Diceros bicornis minor: one gene and its partners. The protein of the gene in region 3 purifies or fractionates together with the protein of the main gene of each other region. This does not show direct contact. Links are inferred from orthologs where the notes say so. Each region holds a gene or a part of one and is shown on either strand. Other genes may lie near its edges. The genes, in order: ANAPC7, ANAPC1 and ANAPC15.

What was found.
Region 1: the proteins of ANAPC15 (region 3) and ANAPC7 purify together in Homo sapiens (affinity purification with mass spectrometry; 3 studies listed by BioGRID and IntAct, with this or other methods). This does not show direct contact. The link is inferred for Diceros bicornis minor from reciprocal best matches to the Homo sapiens genes ANAPC15 and ANAPC7.
Region 2: the proteins of ANAPC15 (region 3) and ANAPC1 purify together in Homo sapiens (affinity purification with mass spectrometry; 3 studies listed by BioGRID and IntAct, with this or other methods). This does not show direct contact. The link is inferred for Diceros bicornis minor from reciprocal best matches to the Homo sapiens genes ANAPC15 and ANAPC1.

Annotation. Positions count from the first base shown.
Region 1 is NC_080774.1:8,943,838-8,950,789, reverse strand, and holds the start of ANAPC7 (anaphase-promoting complex subunit 7), read left to right. Parts: upstream 1-3,946; 5' UTR 3,947-4,014; coding exon 4,015-4,115; intron 4,116-6,952. UniProt on the Homo sapiens protein: Component of the anaphase promoting complex/cyclosome (APC/C), a cell cycle-regulated E3 ubiquitin ligase that controls progression through mitosis and the G1 phase of the cell cycle.
Region 2 is NC_080779.1:18,750,107-18,757,823, forward strand, and holds the start of ANAPC1 (anaphase-promoting complex subunit 1), read right to left. Parts: upstream 3,073-7,717; 5' UTR 2,826-3,072; intron 2,800-2,825; exon of another isoform or gene 2,523-2,799; intron 2,243-2,522; exon of another isoform or gene 2,122-2,242; intron 820-2,121; 5' UTR 796-819; coding exon 583-795; intron 1-582. UniProt on the Homo sapiens protein: Component of the anaphase promoting complex/cyclosome (APC/C), a cell cycle-regulated E3 ubiquitin ligase that controls progression through mitosis and the G1 phase of the cell cycle.
Region 3 is NC_080746.1:58,529,762-58,536,743, reverse strand, and holds the start of ANAPC15 (anaphase-promoting complex subunit 15), read right to left. Parts: upstream 3,075-6,982; 5' UTR 3,066-3,074; coding exon 2,974-3,065; intron 2,559-2,973; exon of another isoform or gene 2,293-2,558; intron 1,526-2,292; coding exon 1,396-1,525; intron 853-1,395; coding exon 793-852; intron 490-792; coding exon 352-489; intron 198-351; coding exon 138-197; 3' UTR 1-137. UniProt on the Homo sapiens protein: Component of the anaphase promoting complex/cyclosome (APC/C), a cell cycle-regulated E3 ubiquitin ligase that controls progression through mitosis and the G1 phase of the cell cycle.

The DNA of each region.
Region 1 (6,952 bases), on a different chromosome or scaffold from region 3:
ATCTGCTCCCACTTCAAGGAATATTTTAAAGTAAATCCTAGACATTGTTTCTTCCATAAATACTTCAGTATATTTTATCACCTTCTATACTATTTGTATTACTTATTTGTTGTTTATCTCCCCTCATTGGAATGTCAGCTCTAAAAGAACATGGATTTTTGTTTGTTTTGTTCCCTGCTATATCCCCATGGTCTAGAATAATTTCTGGCACACAGTAGGTGCATAATAAACATATGTTGAATGAATGTACAGTGAAGCAGCTGAAAGGAGAGGAGAAACCAATTAACAATGAATGTCTCATTATAATGATTTATTATGTTCGTCTAGTGTTTCATGATTTATAAAGCATTTTTTATACCATCAATATCTTAACTCTTTTAATTAAATGAGCTATGTGATGAGGTCATTGACTCATGCTTCTTCTTCATCCATTATTGAATATTTGTTAACACCTACTATGTGCCAGGCACAGACCACAGAATGGTGTGCAAGACAGATAGGCCCTCTGTCTCGTTAGTTTCCAGTCATCCAGGTGGGTGTAGACCTGTCAGGAATGCAAAGAAGCGTCCCACTCACTCTGCCCCCTCGTGAGACAAGGTGTACAGAGATGAGAAAAGTTAATTAACAATCACAGATTTAAGTATGGTGAAGGAGAGGCATATAGGGCAATGAAGTCATTAGTTATCAAACGAATTGTCCAAACTATAATTCCCATTCAGAGAATCGAGGCATTAAAGGAGAGATGAATCACTTTTTAGGAGAAGGTATGGCAATTTCAACTAAAAATGTTTCTTTCTTTTTTTTTTTTTTGCTGAGGAAGACCAGCCCTGAGCTAAGATCTATTGCCAATCCTCCTCCTTTTTTTCCCCTTTTTCTCCCCAAAGCACCACTAGATAGTTGTATGTCATAGTTGCACATTCTTCTAGTTGCTGTATGTGGCATGCCGCCTCAGCATGGCCGGAGAAGCGGTGGGTTGGTGACTGCGCGGGATCCAAACCCAGGCCGCCAGTAGTGGAGTGCACGCACTTAACCGCTAAGCCACGGGGCCGGCCCCTAAAAATGTTTCTTGAATCTATGAATGTTGGTTTATTCCAGGATCAGTGGATATGTGACTTTACAGTAAGATGTCAATCCAGATATAAACCTAACTATATTTTGCAATTACAGTGTAGCTTGGAGAAGGTAAATTGGAGACTCATGAGTCACGTGGCTTAAAGATGTGTTTATTTTTTTAATGGTTTTATTGAGGTATATAAAATTCACCCATTTTGGGCCGGCCCCGTGGCTTAGCGGTTGAGTGCACGCGCTCCGCTGCTGGCGGCCCGGGTTCGGATCCCGGGCACCCGCCGACACGCTGCTTCTCTGGCCATGCTGAGGCCCTGTCCCACATACAGCAACTAGAAGGATGTGCAGCTATGACATACAACTATCTGCTGGGGCTTTGGGGGGAAAATACATAAATAAATAAAATCTTTAAAATTCACCCATTTAAGTGTACAATTCAATGATTTCTTAGTGAATTTAGAGTTGTGCAGCAATTACCACAATCCAGTTTTAGAACATTTCCATCTACCCTAAAAAGATCCCTCTTGCTCATTTGCAGTCACTCCCGCTTCCCACCCTCACCATCAAGCAACCACTAATCTTTTTGTTGCTATCAGTTTGTCTTTCCTGAATGTTTCATATAAATGGAGTCAGAGATTGTGATTTTTTTCCGTCTGTTTTTTTTCACCTAGCATTATTTTTAGCATAATAATTTTGAAATTCATCCATGTTATCAGAAGTTTGTTCTTTTTTTTATTTTTTGCTGAATAGAATTACACTGTATGGATATACCACATTTGGTTTATATAGTCATCAGCTGGTGAATATTTGAATTGTTTTCACTTTTTGGCTATTGTTAGATGTGGTTTTCATTAGGAAATATTTTGAATGTAGAAAAAAGTATGATAGCAAGCATTTATGTAGTTAGTGTTTACTCTGTGTCAGCCACTGTTCCAAGTGTGTTAGATACAGCGGTATACACAGCATGTTTGACACCCAGAGCAGGTCAATTTTTATACCTCCTTCCCCTTTTTCTTTCTTTCTTTCTTTTTTTTTTTAGTAAACTTTATTTTTTAGAGCAGTTTTAGGTTCAGAGCAAAATTGAGCAGAAGATGCAAAGAGTTCCCATAAACCCCCTGCCCCCGCACATGCACAGTCTCCCCCACTACCAACATCCCACACCAGTGTGATACATTTGTTACAACTGATGAACCTACACTGACACATCATTATCACCCAAGTCCATAGTTTCTGTTAGGTTCTCTCCGTGTTGTACATTCTATGCGTTTTGACAAATGTATGACATGTATCCACCATTATAGTATCATATAGAATAGTTCCACTGCCCTAAAAATCCTCTGTGCTCCGCTATTCCTCCCTCCCCTCTACCTCCTGGCAACCACTGACCTTTTTACTGTCTCCAGTTTCATCTTTTCCAGAATGTCAAATAGTTGAAATCATACGGTATGTAGCCTTTTCAGATTGGCTTCATTTCAGTTAGTAATATGCTAAGTTTCCTCCATGTCTTTTCATGGCTGTGCTCCAACGATTGACAAATCTGTTTATGCTGCCTATTGAAGATGAATATGCAAAGATGATCAGTTTTTTTTTTAAAGATTTTTATTTATTTATTTATTTATTTTCACCCAAAGCCCCAGTAGATTATTGTATGTCATAGCTGCACATCCTTCTAGTTGCTGTATGTGGGCCGCGGCCTCAGCATGGCTGGAGAAGCGGTGCGTCGGTGCGCCCCCAGATCCGAACCCAGGCTGCCAGTAGCGGAGCGCGTGCACTTAACCGCTAAGCCATGGGGCTGGCCCTAATCCGTTATCTTTTTGTACTGTAATATTTGTTTTATTTTTCATTAAAATTTTTACTGGCATCATTATTTAGATGAAGTTTAAGAAAATGATATTTTCGCTGTTTCTTTTCTGGCCATTATTATTAGTCATTTCATTTCAGGATTATTACCGAAAGTAGGTTTTTTGTAAAAGAGAGAGAGTGGTCAAGAGAATGAGAAAAAAAGCTACAGACAGAAAAAATATTTGTAAAACACATATCTGATAAAGGACTGTTATCCAAAATACGCAAAGAACACTTAAAACCCAACAGTAAGAACACCAACAACCGGATTGAAAAATGGGCAAAGGATCTAAACAGACACCTCACCAAAGAAGAGATACAGATGGCAAATAGGCCTATGAGAAGACGTTCAACGTCATATGTCATCACGGAATTGCAAATTAAAACAACACTACACACATATTAGGATGGCTAAAACTCAACCTAGCCTTTATTCACTCTGAGTTAGTGAGTCATTTCACAGGGTAAAAACATGTCTTTTTTGCACCCAAGGCGTCCCTCCAAAGGTGAAGCCTGACTCCCACAGGTACACACAATACCTGAGAGGAGGGGGCGTGGCACCTTCAGCCAGGTGCGCCAGAGCGACTTGAAAGCAGTTAGGACTGCCCCTGGCGCCTGATTAAAATATTTAATTCCAGCTGTTGGAGATTTTTCCCGCCCGCACCCTACTATACTTTTATTTATAACTGTCCATATATTTTTATTAACTTCTGGGAGACACAGATTCCTCTCAGACTCATTTCAATTGAGCATATATTCATACTGAGGTGCCTTTTGTCCTCAGCCCATTGTAAGCCCTCAGTAAAGTCTGCAGCTTAGAATGATGATGCAACTTTTGCTAACAGAACGAAACAAAAGCAAAAACAATAGTCCCGAAAACCAAATCATTCCACCTCACAGGGGGCTTGGGGGAAGAAGTTTTGTTTTTTTTCTTTTTTTTCTTCTTCTTCTATTCAGGCACTTCAGTAGTTGCCTATTTTCCTGGGGGCGGTGCCGCATGTGGGCCCGATGGACCCCGGCGAGGCCGCCATTTTGGAGTCTTCTCTGAGGAGCGTCTACCGGCTCTCCGCGCCGCTGCCGCCGCTGCCCTCGGCCTTGCCGGGCGGGATGAATGTGATAGACCACGTGCGAGACATGGCGGCCGCGGGGCTGCACTCCAACGTGCGGCTCCTCAGCAGCTTGTTACTTACCATGAGTAATAATAACCCGTGAGTGGAGGCGGGGAGCGGCCTGGGGCTGAGGAGACAGCGGCGCCGGCTTGGGAGCGGGGGCCGAGGGGGCCCGGGGAGTGGCGGGAAGGAGCGGCCGCGGGCCCCAGCTGAAGCTCCGGGGTCAGCCAGGGCCTCGTCGGGCGGAGCCGGCTCAGGAGCGCAAGTTGAGGTCGCCGGGTCCCCGCGTTGTGCCGGGCGCTGGGATGCGCTCCCTGCGGGGGATGTGGCGAGCGGCGGCTTGGAGAGACGGAAGGCGGAGGCTCCGAGGGCGACCCTGGCGAGGGTTTCCCGAGGCCCCTGTCGCCGGGCATAGCGACTGTCACATCGCTGGGCCGACTCTTCCCTTCCCGGCCCCTGGTTTTATACCTTCGTCCCCCACCCGAGATTGCTCTTTCTCCTTGAGTGTATCAGGAGAGTTCACTTTCTCCTCGGCAAACGGGGGGCTCCCTGGCTGGGTGGGAGTGGTGCCTTTCTAAGGACTCGCAGGGCCCCTTTTCTGTTTTTCGCGCTGCCGTCTATTGAGTCTTATGACGGAGGAAGCACAGGGCCGTGTGCAGCCTGGAGTGCCTGTCGCAGCCGTGCTTCAGTGTCTCCATTCTGTTTAAATTAAAGTTCCTTCCCATGGCTTAGAGGCCGAGCATCTTTCTCCCCGACTTCATCTCGTCTGCTCTGCTCGCTGTACTCCAGCCTCCCTGCCTCTTTCTCTTGCTGGAACGCACCGAGCTCGTTCTCAGCTCAGGGCTTTTGCATTGGCTCTTCTGCTTGGAGTCCTCCCCTCCGAGCTGCCTCCTCGTTCAGGTTTCAGCTCAGATATCCTTCCTCGAGAGCTCTTCTCTATCAGAATTGTCCCTTCCCCTCACTATGTATCCCTTTGCCCTGTTTTATTTTCTGCATCACTCTTTTTCTAATTGAGATGTAATCGATGTATAACATTGTTTGGATATTTGTGTGTATTGGGAAATGATTACCGCAATGTCTAGTTCACGTCCATCATCACACAGTTACAATTTTTTTTTTATTATGATGAGAGCTTTTAAAACATATATTCTGCGTGACTCGTAACACCTCATGAAGTCAGCACAGTGCCTGTGCAATAAGCATTCGTACGTTTTTTGAATGTGCTAAGGAAGTGCATACAACCTTAGGGAGGTGAAATACTGTTTCTGATTTCACACACATCTAGTAAGTGGAGGAGCCACGATGTCTGCATTTTGGTCCTTCTGACTTTAGAAAGTCTCTATTCTGACCCACCGCAGTTTACTGCCTCTCAGTGGCATTATAACTGAATCTCCTACCCAAGGTGGACCCATTGCATTTGGCTTGCTCTAGAAGCTGTCTAGGTTAGAAAGGAAAAGCCCCTCAAGTGCCTGCGATGCAGCCACTGCTCCCGATTTCATTTCCATTACTGTGCTTTTGGGCCTTGCTACTTGAGACCCGTCATTTTGCCACCATTCATTTAGTGTTGACAGTGAGGAGCCCTGGTCTCTGTCAGCCGTCTGTGTTTGTTCTGGAGTCTTTCACTTGGTTCTGAGTGATTTGTCAAGGCACACAGTTTCCACCATTGGAAATTTATACACCAGTTAGTCATTACTCTTAGTTCCGGAAGATGTTACAGGGTAGTTAGAAGCAGTTTGATCCTCGGACTAGACTTAGTTAGCCCATGCTTCTTCATAATAGGTTAAACTGGCGGTTTCCTAGCTTTAGGAGGCATTTAAATTCTGACCTTTATCATTAATATTTTAAATTAAATTGGCAATATACATGGTAAAAAAAATTCAAACAGTGCAAAAGGGGTATGCAGATAAGTGTCTGTCCCTGAGTTTTGACCCTCACCCCACCATTTCACTTCTCCAAAGGCAACAACTATTAACAGTTTCTTTTTTTTTTTTTTAAAGATTTTATTTATTTATTTTTCCCCCAAAGCCCCAGTAGATAGTTGTCTGTCATAGCTGTACATCCTTCTGGTTGCTGTATGTGGGATGCGGCCTCAGCATGGCCGGAGAAGCAGTGCGTCGGTGCGCGCCCGGGATCCGAACCCAGGCTGCCAGCAGCGGAGCGCGCGCACTTAACCTCTAAGCCACCGGGCTGACCCTATTAACAGTTTCTTATGTATCATTCCAGAGATGACTTATGCATGCATAAGTAGGCATGTATGTTACAATATATAAATATCTGAATGCTTTCTCTGAGTGTAGTAATATTTTCTATCCAATCTTATTTCTCACTAAGTACATAGAATCTCAGAGTTGGAAGAGATCTTAACTCTCTGGACTATACCTTTGTCCTTGACTTTCCTTTGTAACTTTATATCCCGTGTTTAGCCTACCTATCCTTTCTTTTTTTTAAGATAAAATTCACATACTGTCAAATTCACCCTTTTAGAAAATACATTTCTGTGGTTTTAAGTATATTCAGAGTTGTGCAGCCATTACCACTGTCTATTCCAAAACATTTTTATTACCCCAAAAAGAAAGCTGGTATCTGTTAGTAGTCACTCCCCAATTCTGCTTTCCCCAGGCCCTGGCAACTATAGTACCTGTTCTTGAATATCTTTCATTTGTTGAGAAATTAACTGTCTGCAGAGTTCTGTAACTCTGACTGTTTTTTCATTTTAAGCGGCTGTAGCTTTTACCTGTCAAAAACGTGTAAACTACTCAATTTGAGAAGAAGTGGGGGAGGGGTGGGTCAGAGATTAAAAATGGATTTTCCATTAAGAATAGTGGCCAGCTTCTAGGCAGTTATAACACTTGTGAACAATATTCAAGGTTAAAGAAAAAGTTGTGAAACGTATTGGTTCCTTACACTGTCCTTAAGCCCCTGAGACTCAAGGAGAT
Region 2 (7,717 bases), on a different chromosome or scaffold from region 3:
AACTGCATATACATTCACCTTCCTCCCTTATCCCACCCACCAAAATGAATGGGAGAGAGAAAGGTTGACATTTCTAACTACATAAACTTTCCCCCCTGAGAATTTGGTATCCCAAAGGGATATGAAAACGGAATAAGACAGGAAAGATTGATTTTCTGACACAAACTTACATCTCATCCCCTTATTTAAGAACTACTACTCTACTTATGTAGCATTTTTTTCTCCTCTACAAACTAAGTTTTCTGTAGCAGGGACCCTTTCTAACTCTAACATCTAATCATCAAGTAACATGAAATCTGGTCCCCACGTACCAAGAGAAGAGAAAGAGGCTTAAAATGGACCATAATCACAGTACTGAACTTGACTCTCATTGTAAAACCATGAGTTATATGTCTAAATAAACAGCTATGACACTATAATACAATCAAGTCATTATTTTAGCCTTGTTTAAAATGACCAAATCTGAACCTCTACCCTAGAAACAGCATCACACTCATTTCTCAGTTGCATCTGGGTAGCCTTAAATTACAAGCAGATTACACCACTCTACATTTCAAAATATAATGGGAAACTGAATGAAACCTTCTGTTTCTCGTGGATTGTAACCTCCTGAAGGGATCCCACCAAACCAGCAGCACCATCAGAAGACCACAACTCAGAGGCTGGCTGCAGCTGGCGAAGCTGAAGGTTCAAAGCATTAGGGTGGTGCTTGCAGTGGTCTCGACCGAAAGGAACAAATTCCTGCAAATCCCCGGCTGCAATCATTGTTGCCCTTTCTTCATAGAAGTTCGACATGGGTTCCAAATATCAACATTATTTCTGTATGAATTCAAACACATTCTGGTCAGCTTCTAGAGTCAAAACCAGGATAAAAATATCACAAAAGTTTACGAAGAGTCATTAATTCTTAGCTGAGTGTCAAATAATCCTATTATATTGCAGGTGTATAAGTAATCAACATCAAAGGGCATTCCAGATCTGACTCTTTCAGGTAATTACAGTTATCACCACACTGTAGTTGCAGACTGACCAACAGACAGTTACCGCTGTCAGAAACCACTGGGCTGAGACAAGCACTTATGCCCCACAACACCTATCCTATGTTTCCTACCACTATACGCTAATTTTTCCACACTTCACACAGAAAGTATTTAGACAAGCTGTCCTTTATATAGTTGTACTTTTTTATAGTTGTACTTTATAGTCCCATGACTGCCGTGCTTCTCAACATTTAAGGTCATTTCTATACAGATGCTGGAACCTCATTTGAAAAGCACACCTAGAGGATCACTGGTATATTGGAATGAAACAAATAAAAAAAAAAACCCACATATTATTTCTAATTCCTCACAAGTTGAACTATTGCTTTCAGTTGACCAATCCACAAAACAGGTAATAAACTATCAAATGTCATCAGTAGTTTTCACACCCCCATTCACCTAAATACATGACTACAATCAATTCGAATTCTTTGTCCAAACCCAGGGAACCAAGGCATGAATAACTCTGGCCATGGAACAGTCATGCTTGTAGCAAATTTAAGCGTCCTAGTTTTTAATTAACATAATCTATTACAGTACAGTTCATTATACAAAGATGTGGATGGGCTGTGAGTGGAAACAAGTCCCTTTACCTCCAATACATTTCTACATATAGTAACTAACAGCTAGAACTAAAATTCTGACACTGTATAATCTTGTTTGTAAGGTGGATGCCAGTCCTGTCTCCAACACAACACCTACATTAAAAATGGGTTTTGCGTGATCACATTTAAACTGCAATCCTCAGACACAGAAATCAAAACAAACGTGATGTCAGCACTATAGACAACCTTTAGAAAGCATCTGAAACAGGGCTCACAATTAGAGTTTAATTAAGTTTGATTTAGATATCTCATCTGAGCTCTTTCTGGCATCAGTTTTCTTTGCTGCAACATCTCAAAGCCTCTGTAGTTTCTACACAGCTCCTCTAGAGTCACAAAGTTATTCTGCTATGAATTAAATGTTATTCCTGACATGACTGTATGTCACAATCATGACTTTTATTTTCCTCCTGCTAAAGCTCAGAACTGAGAACACTTGAACTTGGGACATAACTAAAATAGTGCCTTATAAAACTTACAAGAAAACAGCAAAATTCAGCTCGTCTTCCTATATTCTAGTCAACAGGTTAACCAACACTTAAGAACTTGCCACTTTATCCAACTTCAGTTGTGTAATTTTGAAATGTTATTCCATTAAAACTTTGAGAGAAAATTACAAAATTGTTAATCATACAATTATTTTCACAGTACAGTTTCTCTTTGCCCTGATAAAGGTTAACATTAAAAAATTTTACAGTATCCCAAACTTTTATGCTTTTACTTACTAGGGCAACATACACAGGTACATACGAAAGTACTATCTTAAGGTGACACGCTGTAAGTCGAGATACCAGCACGGCTTACTAGGAACAAAAACAACCCTGCCAAAGGTAACCGCAAAGCTACTTCAAGAGGAGACCCAAATGCACACAAAAGGCACCTTGAGTTGAGTCTTCGCAAAAAGGCAGAGCTTCGTCGGCCTCCTAGGGTTAAGCGAAACCAACAGGCTAAGGGCCTGGGTTTCAGAAAATCCTGTCAGAAGGACAAGGGGCCGATGCAGGAGCTCGGGCCCACGTGGGACTCCGCGCTTAGCTCAGGAAGGAAGTCGGCGAGGCGTGCAGCGGAGAGGGGCACCCCCGAAAGCCCAGCCCGCAGGCCCGGGCCCCCTCGGCTCCGGGTCAGCGGGCCCGAGGGTCAGGGGACGCGCGAGGAACCACCGGGCGCTGCGGGCCCGGGCCCGCACCTGTGTCACTCGGGACGCGTCAGGCGCGGCGAGCCCCGGCTGCTCCCCGGAGGCGCGAGGGCCAAGGGGGCCCGAGGGCAGCGGCAGGGTCGCTCACGGTGACTCCTCGGCCGCCGCAGCTTCTCATCCCCTCCTCCTCCCCTATTCCGGAGGAAGAAGGGGCAGCGGCTGCGGGCGCGACTGCTGACGAGAGGCAAGCGTGCAGGCGACCCACTCAGGCGAGACGTTCAAATGGACGCGTCCATCTTGGCTTTCCCGTCCTGCCTCGCGCCGGGGCGGGGCGGGACATCGCGGGAGGCTCGCGCCAGTCCCGCGGTCCTGACGCCTGCGCAGTTGCGGGAAGAATGCGCGGAGCGGAAGTTGCTGGGTACTTCCATCTTTGTTAGCGTGGCGCCGAGCCCCGAAGCGGGGAAGTCTCTGTTCCAGTCTGTCCTGTGATTGGACCCCCGTAGCAGAGTGGCTCCAGGTCATGTCGCTACGAGCTCGAACTGCTTCCCAACTCTGAATTAGGGGATATCCTGGCTGTTTTCGCTCCTGTCTCCCGACCCGACGAGGGGACTGCTGATTATCTCTTTATGCCAGTGCATTTTAACCCTTTGGGGTCCAGGCCCCTTGAAAAGTTGATGAAGCGTATGGAGGCCTCGCGAACACGTTGTGTGCAATTTCTGAGCGTCGCAGACCCAGGTTAAGAATCCCAGCTTTATCCTTCCTTCCGCGTCTGTGGAGTCAGCTGTACAATTAGCGCACTTGGGAAAGGAGCAAACTCTCTTGAGCTCTAATCTCCCATTGCGTGGTGTCTCTAGGTTGAAATTATTGACAGGCGCCCTGTTGCCTAAGAAAAGTTCAAATTCTTTATCCAGAAATGTAAAGTTGGCAGAAACCGTATGTCGGCACTAAAATTGTCCACTGGGCTTCCCGAAAACACCTTGCAGTGTGTGGCCTTGGTATCTCAGTTCATTCTCATCCCTTGATTTGGAATGTCCACGTTCAGGGTTTAGCTCAGATACCTCCTTAGAAGGCTTCACTCCAACAGGAGCCTACTGAGGATTGAATGTGTGTGTCCCCCCAAAAATTCATAGTTGAAACTATGCCCTATGTGATGGTGTTAGGAGGTGGGACCTTCAGAAGGTGCTTAGATCATGAGGGTGGAGCCCTCATGAATGGGATTAGTGCCCTTATAAGGAGACCTACAGAGCTCCCTGGCCCCTTCTACCAAGTGAGGACACAGCAAAAAGACAGCTGTCCGTGAATTAGAAAGTGGGCTCTCACCAGACACCGAATCTGCCAGCACCATAATCTTGGACTTCCCAGCCTCCAGAACTATGAGAAATAAATATTTCTTGTTTATAAGCCACACAGTTGATGGTATTTTTGTTATAGAAGCCCAAGAGAACTAAGACAGAGCCTCTCTTAGAACTCTGAGAAGACCTGTTCACTGTAGTCATTTACCTGAAACCAAAATATCCCCAGACTTCCCTGGCCTGAGGATACAAGGAGCAAATTTTAATGAAGGCAAACTGATCAATAAGAACAAGGCAGGAAGGAACCAGACAAGTAAATTCCCTTTTCTTCTCTCTCTGGTGGACTATTCTAAGGCAAAGTTTCTCCGCACAGCCTGTCAGGAGACGTCCTGTATGGCTGAGTGGACACACCTGCCAAGCGGACTGCTGCATTGTTGGCAGCCTGTTGTGAAGCAGCGCCAGTGTGGCACTTCTCATCCTTCCATGCTTCATTTCCCCTTTCCTTCATTCTCTCTATCTTGGGCTAAAGCATCAGCGCTCATCAAACTTCCCTCGGGCTCTGTTTTCTAGGACAACGCAATCCACAAAGCATGTCTTACGCCGTCAACTGTGCAATCCGTGAAGCAGAATCACTGAAAGGGTCACCCAGCTCTTCCTCCTGCCTGTTCCCTTACTTTCCCTAAATTCTCTCAAGATGCCTTTCTGTGGCCTCAGCCTTGATATCCTCTGTGAGGACAGCAAGGTCCGTCCTGATAGTTCCCCTCCTACTCCCGAAGACCTTGGGCCCTCAGGTGCCAGAGCAGTGCTGTGTTCCCTGCAGCACTCCAGTGTCATTAACGACACTTGGACTCATGCTTTGACAGTCTCTTAAGAAAGCAAATCCTGCTTCTGCCACTGACCTCTCTGCTCATGGGGTCCAAACCACAAATCCAGGAGTTTCAGAGAAGAGTTATTTCCCGTTGTCTCTATCGTCCTCCCATTCTCTTCTGTTGGCATTTGAGGCATCCACTTGGCTCAGAACACGTAAGCCCTGGTATAGACTCCTGCAGGCTGCCAACTCATTGCATTTCCGCTGCCCTCCAAGCAAGCGTGAATTCCCTTGTGGGCGCCTGAGATTGCATCTTGGATACAGATACACATATATCCAATATTATACACTAGACCTCTTTTGCTGATGTACTCACCCCAGTAGTTAGCAAAATTCTCTCTATATGATTGGTATGCAAAAAATTGAATACAGGGGCAGGCCCAGTGGTGCAGGCGGTTAAGTGCGCGCGCTGCGCTGCAGCGGCCCAGGGTTCACTGGTTCGGATCCCGGGCGTGCACCGACGCACCGCTTGTTAAGCCATGCTGTGGCCGCGTCCCATGTAAAGGGGAGGAAGATGGGCACGGATGTTAGCCCAGGGCCAGTCTTCCTCAGCAAAAAAAAGAGGAGGGTTGGCAGATGTTAGCTCAGGGAGGATCTTCCTCATGAAAGAAAAAAAAATTGAATACAATCCCTATTTCTCACTTTTAATCTGTAATAAAATATACGTCTCTGCATTAGTAGCTATCGCTGCATAATAATATTACCACAAACTTGGTGATTTAAAATAACCTATTTATTATTGTCACAATTTCTGTGGGTCAGGAGTCCAGGCCCAGATAGGTCTTGTGCTTAAGAGTCTCACAAGGCTGCAGTCAAGGTGTTGCCTGGGACTGTGGTTTCATCCAAGGCTTACCAGAGAAAATTCTGCTTCCAGGCTCGCTTGGAATTCAGTTTCTTGTGGTTAAAGGACTAAGGGCTTTGGTATGTTGCTGGCTGTCAGCCAGAGGCTGCCCTCAGCAACCAGAGGCCACCCACAGTTCCTTGCCGCACAGGGTTCCCCAACATCATCAAAGTATGCAAGCCAAGAGGGCAATAGAGTCTGCCAGCAAGAAGTCAGTCGCGATCGTAGACAATCTGATCACAAGAGTAACAGCCGATCACCTTTGAGGGTCAGGAGCAAGTCACGCTCAGGGAGGGGATTACACAAAGACGCAGGGATCACTGGGGGCCATCTCAGAAGCAGCCCACTACGGTCTCCAATATCTGTCTGATAGTATATAAGGCCCTAAACTACCCATTTTAGCCAGGAGGGTGAAATGGCTGCCAGACTCCTCTCCTCTGAGCCCTCGCAGCTGCCTGCCCTCAGCCCTTCCCCTCTGGGTCTGCAGAGGGCCCTACAGCTGCCTCTCCACCAGGCCTGCAAAGGACCCGGCGGCTGACCCCATCTCACCCTCCAGTTCTCAACAATCTCATAGTCTCAGAAACTACCCAACAGATTTTTGTTAAAGCAAAGTTTGGTGTTTTTTAACTACTACTGCAGAGGAGAGACAGGGAAGACAAGCTGCTTCGCAAACCCCTGAAACCACACTTGATTTTTATAGGGTTGGAAAAACAGCACCCAAAAGTCAGGGGACAAAGGAAAAAAAGGACAAAGGAAAAAAAAAAAATGAGGTTCATTACCAGTTCATTTACATGGTAAGTGGTGAACAACAGGTACAATTAATGAACTGTCACATAACCATGTTTTCTGAATTTATTCAACTTCCAATACCTGGTTCACAAACTTGAAGTCAATTCAGGCATGGGGTTAGGATTTATACTTGAAGTAGGGTGACCAACCATCCCAGTTTTCCCAGGATCGAGGGTTCCCAGGACATGGGACTTTCAGTTTTAAAACCAGACATCCTAGACAAACAGAGACTACTAGTCACCCTAATTTGAAATGATAAAAGGTAGTCTTATACACATCTGAGCAAACTCTTACTTCTGGGACCTTGGGTATTGGGATATTTAAGAGAAATGAACGCCACAGCATATAAAACACATCTTCTCCATTTCAAACTTCTGGCTAGCCTGGCTGGCCCAACTTTATATCTCACAAGGTGTTTGTAAAAATAGTTTTGAGACCAGGGGCAATTTGTAGCATTGCGCTGAACAAACAGGAAGTCTAAAAATCTGGAAAATTAGGGGTTCTATTCATTTAATCAAAGCTTGTCCCATCTTAAAGGGGAAGTTTGTATTTCTGATTTGAAATTTTTCCTTCTCAAAGAGAGGGTTTACAATATTTTGATTCCACAATTTAAATGCTACCTTTTCAAATCTCAATAACTCACTTCCCCTAAGAAAAACGCAATAATTTGAGAGAGTTGTAATTATAGATTAAATTGAGAGTAGGTGGTATAGGGAAACTAAGTAATAAAAGATTGGATTCAATCATCCGTTTTACAGAGGCAAGTCTGATATAATCAAAGAGTAATTGACTAGTACCCTTTGTATCAAGTTCTTGCTTCCCAATCTGATTTTAACCAGCAATATTTTACTATTTTAAGCCTCTGGGTCTCGTTGCTATTGCTATAATTGCTAAATTAGTAGAAGCAAGAGTTGAAATGGTGCCTGTGAGGGACTTTTCATAGTACAGTGAATATGTTATTGTATGTTACTGAATGGGGACATTAGCTACAAATGGCACCAAGCAGTCATTCTGTGGAGGGGATGAAAGCCCTGGTAACGTACGAACAACCACCAAAGAAATACTTTCTCAAATCCTTCCATGATAAAGGTATTCTTAGCCATTGTTGGTGCCTAACTAATCCCAGGTGTAGAGGCTTTCCCATGTAACGGTG
Region 3 (6,982 bases):
GACCAGGTCCTGGCAGCAGCTGAGGAGGTGCCCGAGGGTGAGCTTTCAGGCACTGGGGCGATCAGCTGGTTCTGCAGGGGGTGCAGGGTAGGTTGGACTGGCCTGGAATCTCCCTGGGGCCACCCTGCCTTGTCTACCTAGATCATCCACTGGTCCTGATCCTGTTCGTTGCCTTCCATGTCCACCTGGAGAGGAGGCTGGGTGTGGGTGGGGAGGGGCCTCAGCCACCCAGCCAGCCCCCATCCCAGATCCTACCCGTGGTTGGATCCAGGGTGCCTGTACCCCTCGGCCGCCAATTAGGTCAGGGGCAGGGGCCCAGGAGCAGCGGCCCTCCCCCACACCCCCGCCTACCTCATTGACCTCTCCATCATCAGGTGACTCGTTGTAGTCATTCATCTCATCCATGTCCTGCATGTCCTCATCATCCTCTGAGTCCTCTTCACTATCCTCGTCATCGTCTTCATCTTCCTCTTCCTCGTCATCATAGTGCTGGTGAGGCAGGGGACAGCCTGTAGGCTCTACAGGCCTGGCTGGACAGTTCAAAGGCTGGCCCACTTGGAGCCTCTCTCTGGGGCCAGTGAATGACCCCTACTCCCCAAATCTGCCCTCCCCGAGTCTAGCAGGCTGGTGCATGTTCTGCAGGACCTTAGTGCTGGGCCCAATGCCCACCCCCTCTATCTCCTCTTTCTGGCTTCCATCCAGAGCTGAGGACCACAATTGCTCCAAGGTCAGGGGCAGAATTAGAACAGAGCCTTAGTCCCCACACAGGCCCCACCTGCTGGGGCTACTCACCTCTGAGGCTGGCTTGCCAATAGGTACCAGGTTGTTGTCTTTCTCTGCGATGCTCTGGAGCTGTGGCCAAAGTGGGAGGAGAGCAGGGCCAGGGCCCAAGCAAGGCAGGTCAGGGGCATGGGACGGGCCCACGCTGCCCCCAAGAAGACCCCCAACAATGGAAGAGAAGCTTCCTTCCAGTTCTCAGGAAGATTCAATACCTTTCTCTCCTATCATCTGCCACTTACTTATGAACTTGGTCCAACTACGTAAACTCTCAGGGCCTTGGTTTCCTCATAAGATTATGGTGAGGGTGAAGTGAGAGACTATTAGCCTAGAACATGGCATCTGCTAGGTCCTCAAAAAATAGTCAAAATTATTATTTCCTATGCTTTAGGGAAAAGAGCCTGGGCTCCAATCTGGACCAGAGATCCCATGGTCCTGCAGCAAATTAGGGTAACACAAAGATGAGAATCTAGGCCCCCTAGCTCCCAGTCTGATTCTTCCCAGCTCAGGGCAAAAAGCTCCTCCAGGGCAGGTCTCCAGAGTGAGGCTGGGTCATGGCCAGTGAAGGGAGGGGGGTCCCTGACTGAGGCTCCACCACTGTGCTAGGTCCTCACTCACCCAGGCCTGATGCTGCTGTTCTTGCTGTTGCAGCTCTGTCTCCTCCACACAAGGTCGATCCAGATTAAACCACAGTGTCTCAGTCACACGGGGGAAGAGTGAGGGGAACAAGGTGGACATGGCTCCTAGACTGAGGGAAAGGATCAGGTGAATCCAGCTCTCAGATATGTTTGGTTTTGGTTTTTATTTTGTTACAGTTTGATTTGGGGATGGGGTGGAGTGGAAGGTAGCAGGGAAGCAGCCCTTCCCTGTGGGAATCAGACAGACCTGGGTTTGAGTCTTGGGTCTGCCACTTACTAGCTGTTTGACCTTGGCCAAGTCACTTAACCTCTCTGAGCCTCAGTTTCCTCATCTGTAAAATGGGGATAATAACAATTATACCATCCTCACAGTTATTCTGATAATTAAGTAACTTGCTTTATGGATAAGTAAAGCTGTTTGTAAGCTGTTCAAGGAGGAAAGAGAATGGGAGCCAAATGCAGAGCTAGGAATCCACAATGCAGACTGGCATTACAAAATTATACAAAATTAGAGGTAGCTGGGCTCTACTGACACACTTTCTACCTCCTTCAAAGACTAAGACCTACTGTTTGCCCTCTATGATGGTCCATACCATACCCACCCAGTGTCAGAAATTTAGGACACTAACCATGTCTCATGAACCACAGCCAACCTGGGGGGGGGACAACGGGGGGGGGGGGGACGGGGAGTTACTCCGTGCAAGTATGGTTCAGTGAGACATTCTAAAGGCATGAGTAAATGGATAAATAAGTAGATAGAAGGTTGAATGGATGAACTAACGTGAGAGAACAAATAAATTCAACTCGGATGCAGTAGCTGAGGGAGATGACCCACAGAAAGGTCCCAGAGAATCTGAATTAAAATCTTTTGGCTCACAGGAAAACAGGCGCAGCGACAGGCAACGACTGGCTGGTTCTAGGTCACAGCGTGAGTTGGGGTATAGAACTCCCCCGGGAAAGAGATCCAGGCCCGGCACTAGAGGATATGAACAGGAGAAAAGGATCTACAGCAAGTTCTGCTTTTGCCCTAACTTATTTGACCGATCTGGGGCCAGCCGCTGCCCTTCCGTGGACCCCAGCTGCCCAACCCGTGTAACAGGTACAACAGCACCCATCCTCACGTCCCAGAAGTACTAAGAGGCCAGACAGAGACAGAAGCCGAGGCTTCCAAAGCCCAACCCCTCGCCGCAAAGCCGCCGCCCATTTTTTGCTTATTATTTACGATCGTGGGCTTGACCAACAGGAAGAAGGCAGAGGCGGGACTCAGACGGGCATTTGTCCTTATAGGGCTGCTAAACGCGAAAGGAGCGGGACCTGAGGAGGGCCAATTAACTGGAAGAAATGCTGCGTGACAGGAAGTGACACCAATGAGTGACGGACTTTGTGTGGCGGGGTGGGGCTTAGTCTCGACGAAGCAGCCAATGAGCTAGAACTCTTTAACGTTAAAAGGAGTCTGGACATGGAGCTCCTGAGGAGGCGAGTCAAGGGAACGGGGTTTCCCTGGGGAGGAAGGAAGGGACAGGAGGCAGCAGCCTTAGAGCCTTGCTTCTGTACTTACCGCGCCGGGAGGCGGCAGCCCGCGGCGACCCGGAAGCAGTTGACACTGCCTGAGCGGAAGGACCCACCAGACCCGGGCCACACCAAACGCATGCGTGTTTGTTCTCCTTTTGTTTCCCACTCCCGCCCACCAGACCGGATGTGACGTTACACACCTTAGCACGTTGTCGGGGTGAAAGTTTGCCGCGCCTACTCTATTGGCCCCGCCTTGAGTCTCAGCCAATCGGATTCTCCACCCTGGCCACGCCCCAACGGCCCCAGTGAGCCCCGCCTCTCCGGCCCCAGGCGGTATTTGCTCGCCGACTGGGGCTGAAAAATGCGGTAGCTGGCAGCAGCCAGTGTTAGTGTTAGGGCTGTTTGTCTTGCTGCGTTAGAAGAAAATTAGTCTGCTTCTACCCCAGAATCGCTGGGTGATTTTGCCCCCGTCCTGTCTGTCCTCTCTCACCCTCAGTTTCCCGTTTGGGCGCATACATTCATTTATGTATGCCTTCAACAGAAATATTTGAGTCCCTACTGTATTCCAGGCTCTGCTAGAAGCTGGGTATAAATCTGGGACCATGGTCCCTGCTCCCAAAGACCTCACAGTCCAGTGGGGCAGCCAGACTCTACAGACCTTCAGTGGACTCACTGGTCTCTTAAGATTGCCTGTCCAGTTTTGCATTTGAGGTTGTGCAAGAGCTTGAGTGATTATAGTCAGCCCCAGGCACCGCATTCTGCTGTTGCGGAATTCAGCTGCCCTCTCCAGGCCTGGGCTAAAGACACTTATGAGTAGCCTCGTCATCTCGCCCACTCCTTTCCTGATGCCTTTGTTCTAGTAACCTCTGACTCAGCCTCCCCTTCAGAGATCCTCATGCCTCTTACAACAGAGGTCCTTCCAACCTAACCCCCATTAAGCTCCATCACCCACCAGCCTCTTCAGGGCCGGCAATCATCCTTAGTTCCGCTTCTGCCCCAACCGATGTGTGACCTTTAACAAGTCCTTTCTCCCTGTCTGGACTCAGTTTCCTCTACAACCAGCATCATAATCTCTGCCCAGCTTTCCTCCTATCCTTGGTTGATGTGAGGATTTGATGATTACGTTTTTGTGTGTGTGTGTGAGGAGACCAGCCCTGTGCTAACATCTGCCAATCCTCCTCTTTTTTTGCTGAGGAAGACTGGCCCTGGGCTAACATCTGTGTCCATCTTCCTCCACTTTATATGGGACACCGCCACAGCATGGCTTGCCAAGCAGTGCGTGGGTGTGCGCCCTGATCGAACCCTGGGCTGCCGCAATGGAGCGCGTGCACTTAACCGCTTGCCCCACCGGGCAGGCCCGAGGTTATGTTTTTAAGAGGTAGTGTAGGGGCCGGCCCACGGCTTAGAGGTTAAGTGCACGCGCTCTGCTGCTGGTCGCTGGGTTCAGATCCTGGACGTGCACCGACGCACCGCTTGTCTGGCCATGCTGTGGCAGCATCCCACATACAGCAACTAGGAGGATGTGCAACTATGACATACAACTATCTACTGGGGCTTTGGGGAGAAAAAAGGAGGAGGATTGGCAATAGATGTTAGCTCAGGGCCGGTCTTCCTCAGCAAAAAGAGGAGGATTGTCATGGATGTTAGCTCAGGGCTGATCTTCCTCATACACAGAAAAAAAACATTGTAAAAAAAAAAAGAGGTAGTGTACTGTGCATATCCATGTGATGATGTTTCCAAGCAGCTCTGGTTGTTATCAAGTTTTTCATTAAAGAGTAAAATTTGCGTCTTGGAAATGTCCACCCTTTTTATTCGTTAATTCAACAAATACCTATTGAGTGCCTTACTATATGCCTGCCACTATTATAAGTAGTGGGTATACAATGGTAAACAGACCCCCCCAAAATATCTCTCTCCTCATGCAACTTCCATTCTAATGAGAGAGATAAACAATAAAGAAGATAGATAAGTAAAATATATAGCCTTAAGATTGCAGTAAATACTAAGGAGAAAAAATAAATCAGAGAAATAGGAATAAAAGCTGGCAGGGGAGATGTTTTATTTTAGGTGGGGGGCCAAGGAAGACCTTCCTGGGAAGGTGACTTTTGAGTAAAGTTCTGAAGAAAAAGAGACAAAGAGAGCACTATTCTGATATTTAGGGAAGAGCATTTCAAGGAGAGAGCAAGTACAAAGGGCCTAGAATGGCTGCAGCATAGTGTACTATGGGGAAAGGAGGAGGAGATGAGGACGTGAGGTAGCAGGAGCCAGATAGTACAGCCCTGCAGGTCATAATAAGGAGTGTGACTTTTACTCCATGTTGAGGATCCTGTGAAGGGTTTTGAGCAGAGGATCCACACAATCTGATTTACATTTTAACAGAGTTACTCTGTTCCATGAAGAAAAGATTCAGGGGGGACAGTAGCAGAAGCAGGGAGACCAGTTGGGAGCCTATTATAATAGTCCAGAGGTGGGGATGAGAAATGGTTGAACTTTGAATATATTAAGAAGTTAGAGACAACAAACTTTGCTGACAGATTGGATGTAGAGCATCAGAGGAAGAAAGGAGCCAAGATTTTTGTCGTGAACAACTGGAAGACCGGTGTTGCCATTTCTTGAGATGGGAAAGACAAGGGAGTTGCTGGTTTTTTGGGAAACTCTCTGCAGCTCATTTTTGGGCATGTTGAGTTTGAGATGCCCCTTAGAGTAGAGATGTTGTGGGGGCAGGAGGGCTATGGGTTTGAAGGTCAGGGGAGAGATCTAGGCTGGAGGTATCAATTTGGGAGTCATCAGCACATAGACGGTAGTTAAAGCCACGAGACTGGATGAGATCACCAAAGGAGTGAATGTAGATGGAAAATAGTTTCCATCAAAATTCAGAATTTGAGGAAACCAGGAGAAGCAGTGAATCAGACTGAGAAGGAGGGCCAAAAGGATAAGTAGAAAGCCAGGCGAGTTGGGTGGTATCATGGAAGCCAAGTAAAGAAGGGGTATCAGGAAGGTGGTAGTGCTCCTCTACAGCCTAGTTCTGTTGTTTGTTTCTGTTTGTTTCCCCAGCAGACCATAAGCTTCTTGAGGGCACACACTGGGTGGTGTCTATGTCTCCAAGACATAGACCTGACACAGCCTGACCTCTCTCTTCTCCTGGGTCCCTTATCTGCTCCCCCTGTGGCCTGTGTCCCCATCAGTCTCTCCTCTTGCTTCTTTCCCTTATACGATCCCTCCCTCCAGCACCCTTCGCCTCCCATCCTTCCTGACAAGCTCTGGCCTGATGGAACTTCCCCAATAACCTAGAGTTTCTTAACGAGGTCCTCAGCCAGATTCAACAAGTCACGGTGACTAGTTAGCCAGGGGAGGGGAAAAGGGAGAGGGAGAAGTGGAAATTTTGGGCAATTCTCCATTTTTGTCTCAGGCAACTGAGTCAAATATGGTGCCATTTGTTTTACATCATTATCCATCATTTGTCCTTGCCAAGTGTTTCACTTTCTTTCATTTCAAGAATAATAAAACTAAGACTCTGAGAGGTTAAGAAATTTGCCTCATATTCCTTCATTTGTTCCAGTGTTTGGTCAACATTTATTGAGTACCAGACATCTTGATAGGCCCTGTGGAAAGAGAGATGAAGCAGAAATAATCCCTGTTCTAGAGAAAAATACAGTCTAATGAGGACTAAGACAATTAGAGAAGAGGGTAGTAAATGTTAAAATCAATGTATGTAGAGAGTGTTATGAGAGCACAGAGTGGGGAGAGATGAATGGGTCCTAGATAAACTGAGTTTAGATTTTTGTTCCAGGGAAGGAAACATTTGAGTGGGCCTTGAGGGATGAGTAGGAGTTCACCCAGTAGACAAATGAGAGAAGGGGATGCACAAAGAGTCATGTTACATGCCAGGGCATGAGTTGAAAGCAGATAATGTGTTTGGAGAACAGTGAGAATCCTTTTGGGGAGAACTAGGTGTCTGGGGACAGAGAGAGAGATGAGAAAGAATGTTAAGAGGACTCAGATGAGGAAGGGCTTTGATGGCCCTAAGATGGAGTGGATGGGATGGGAGCCAGGCA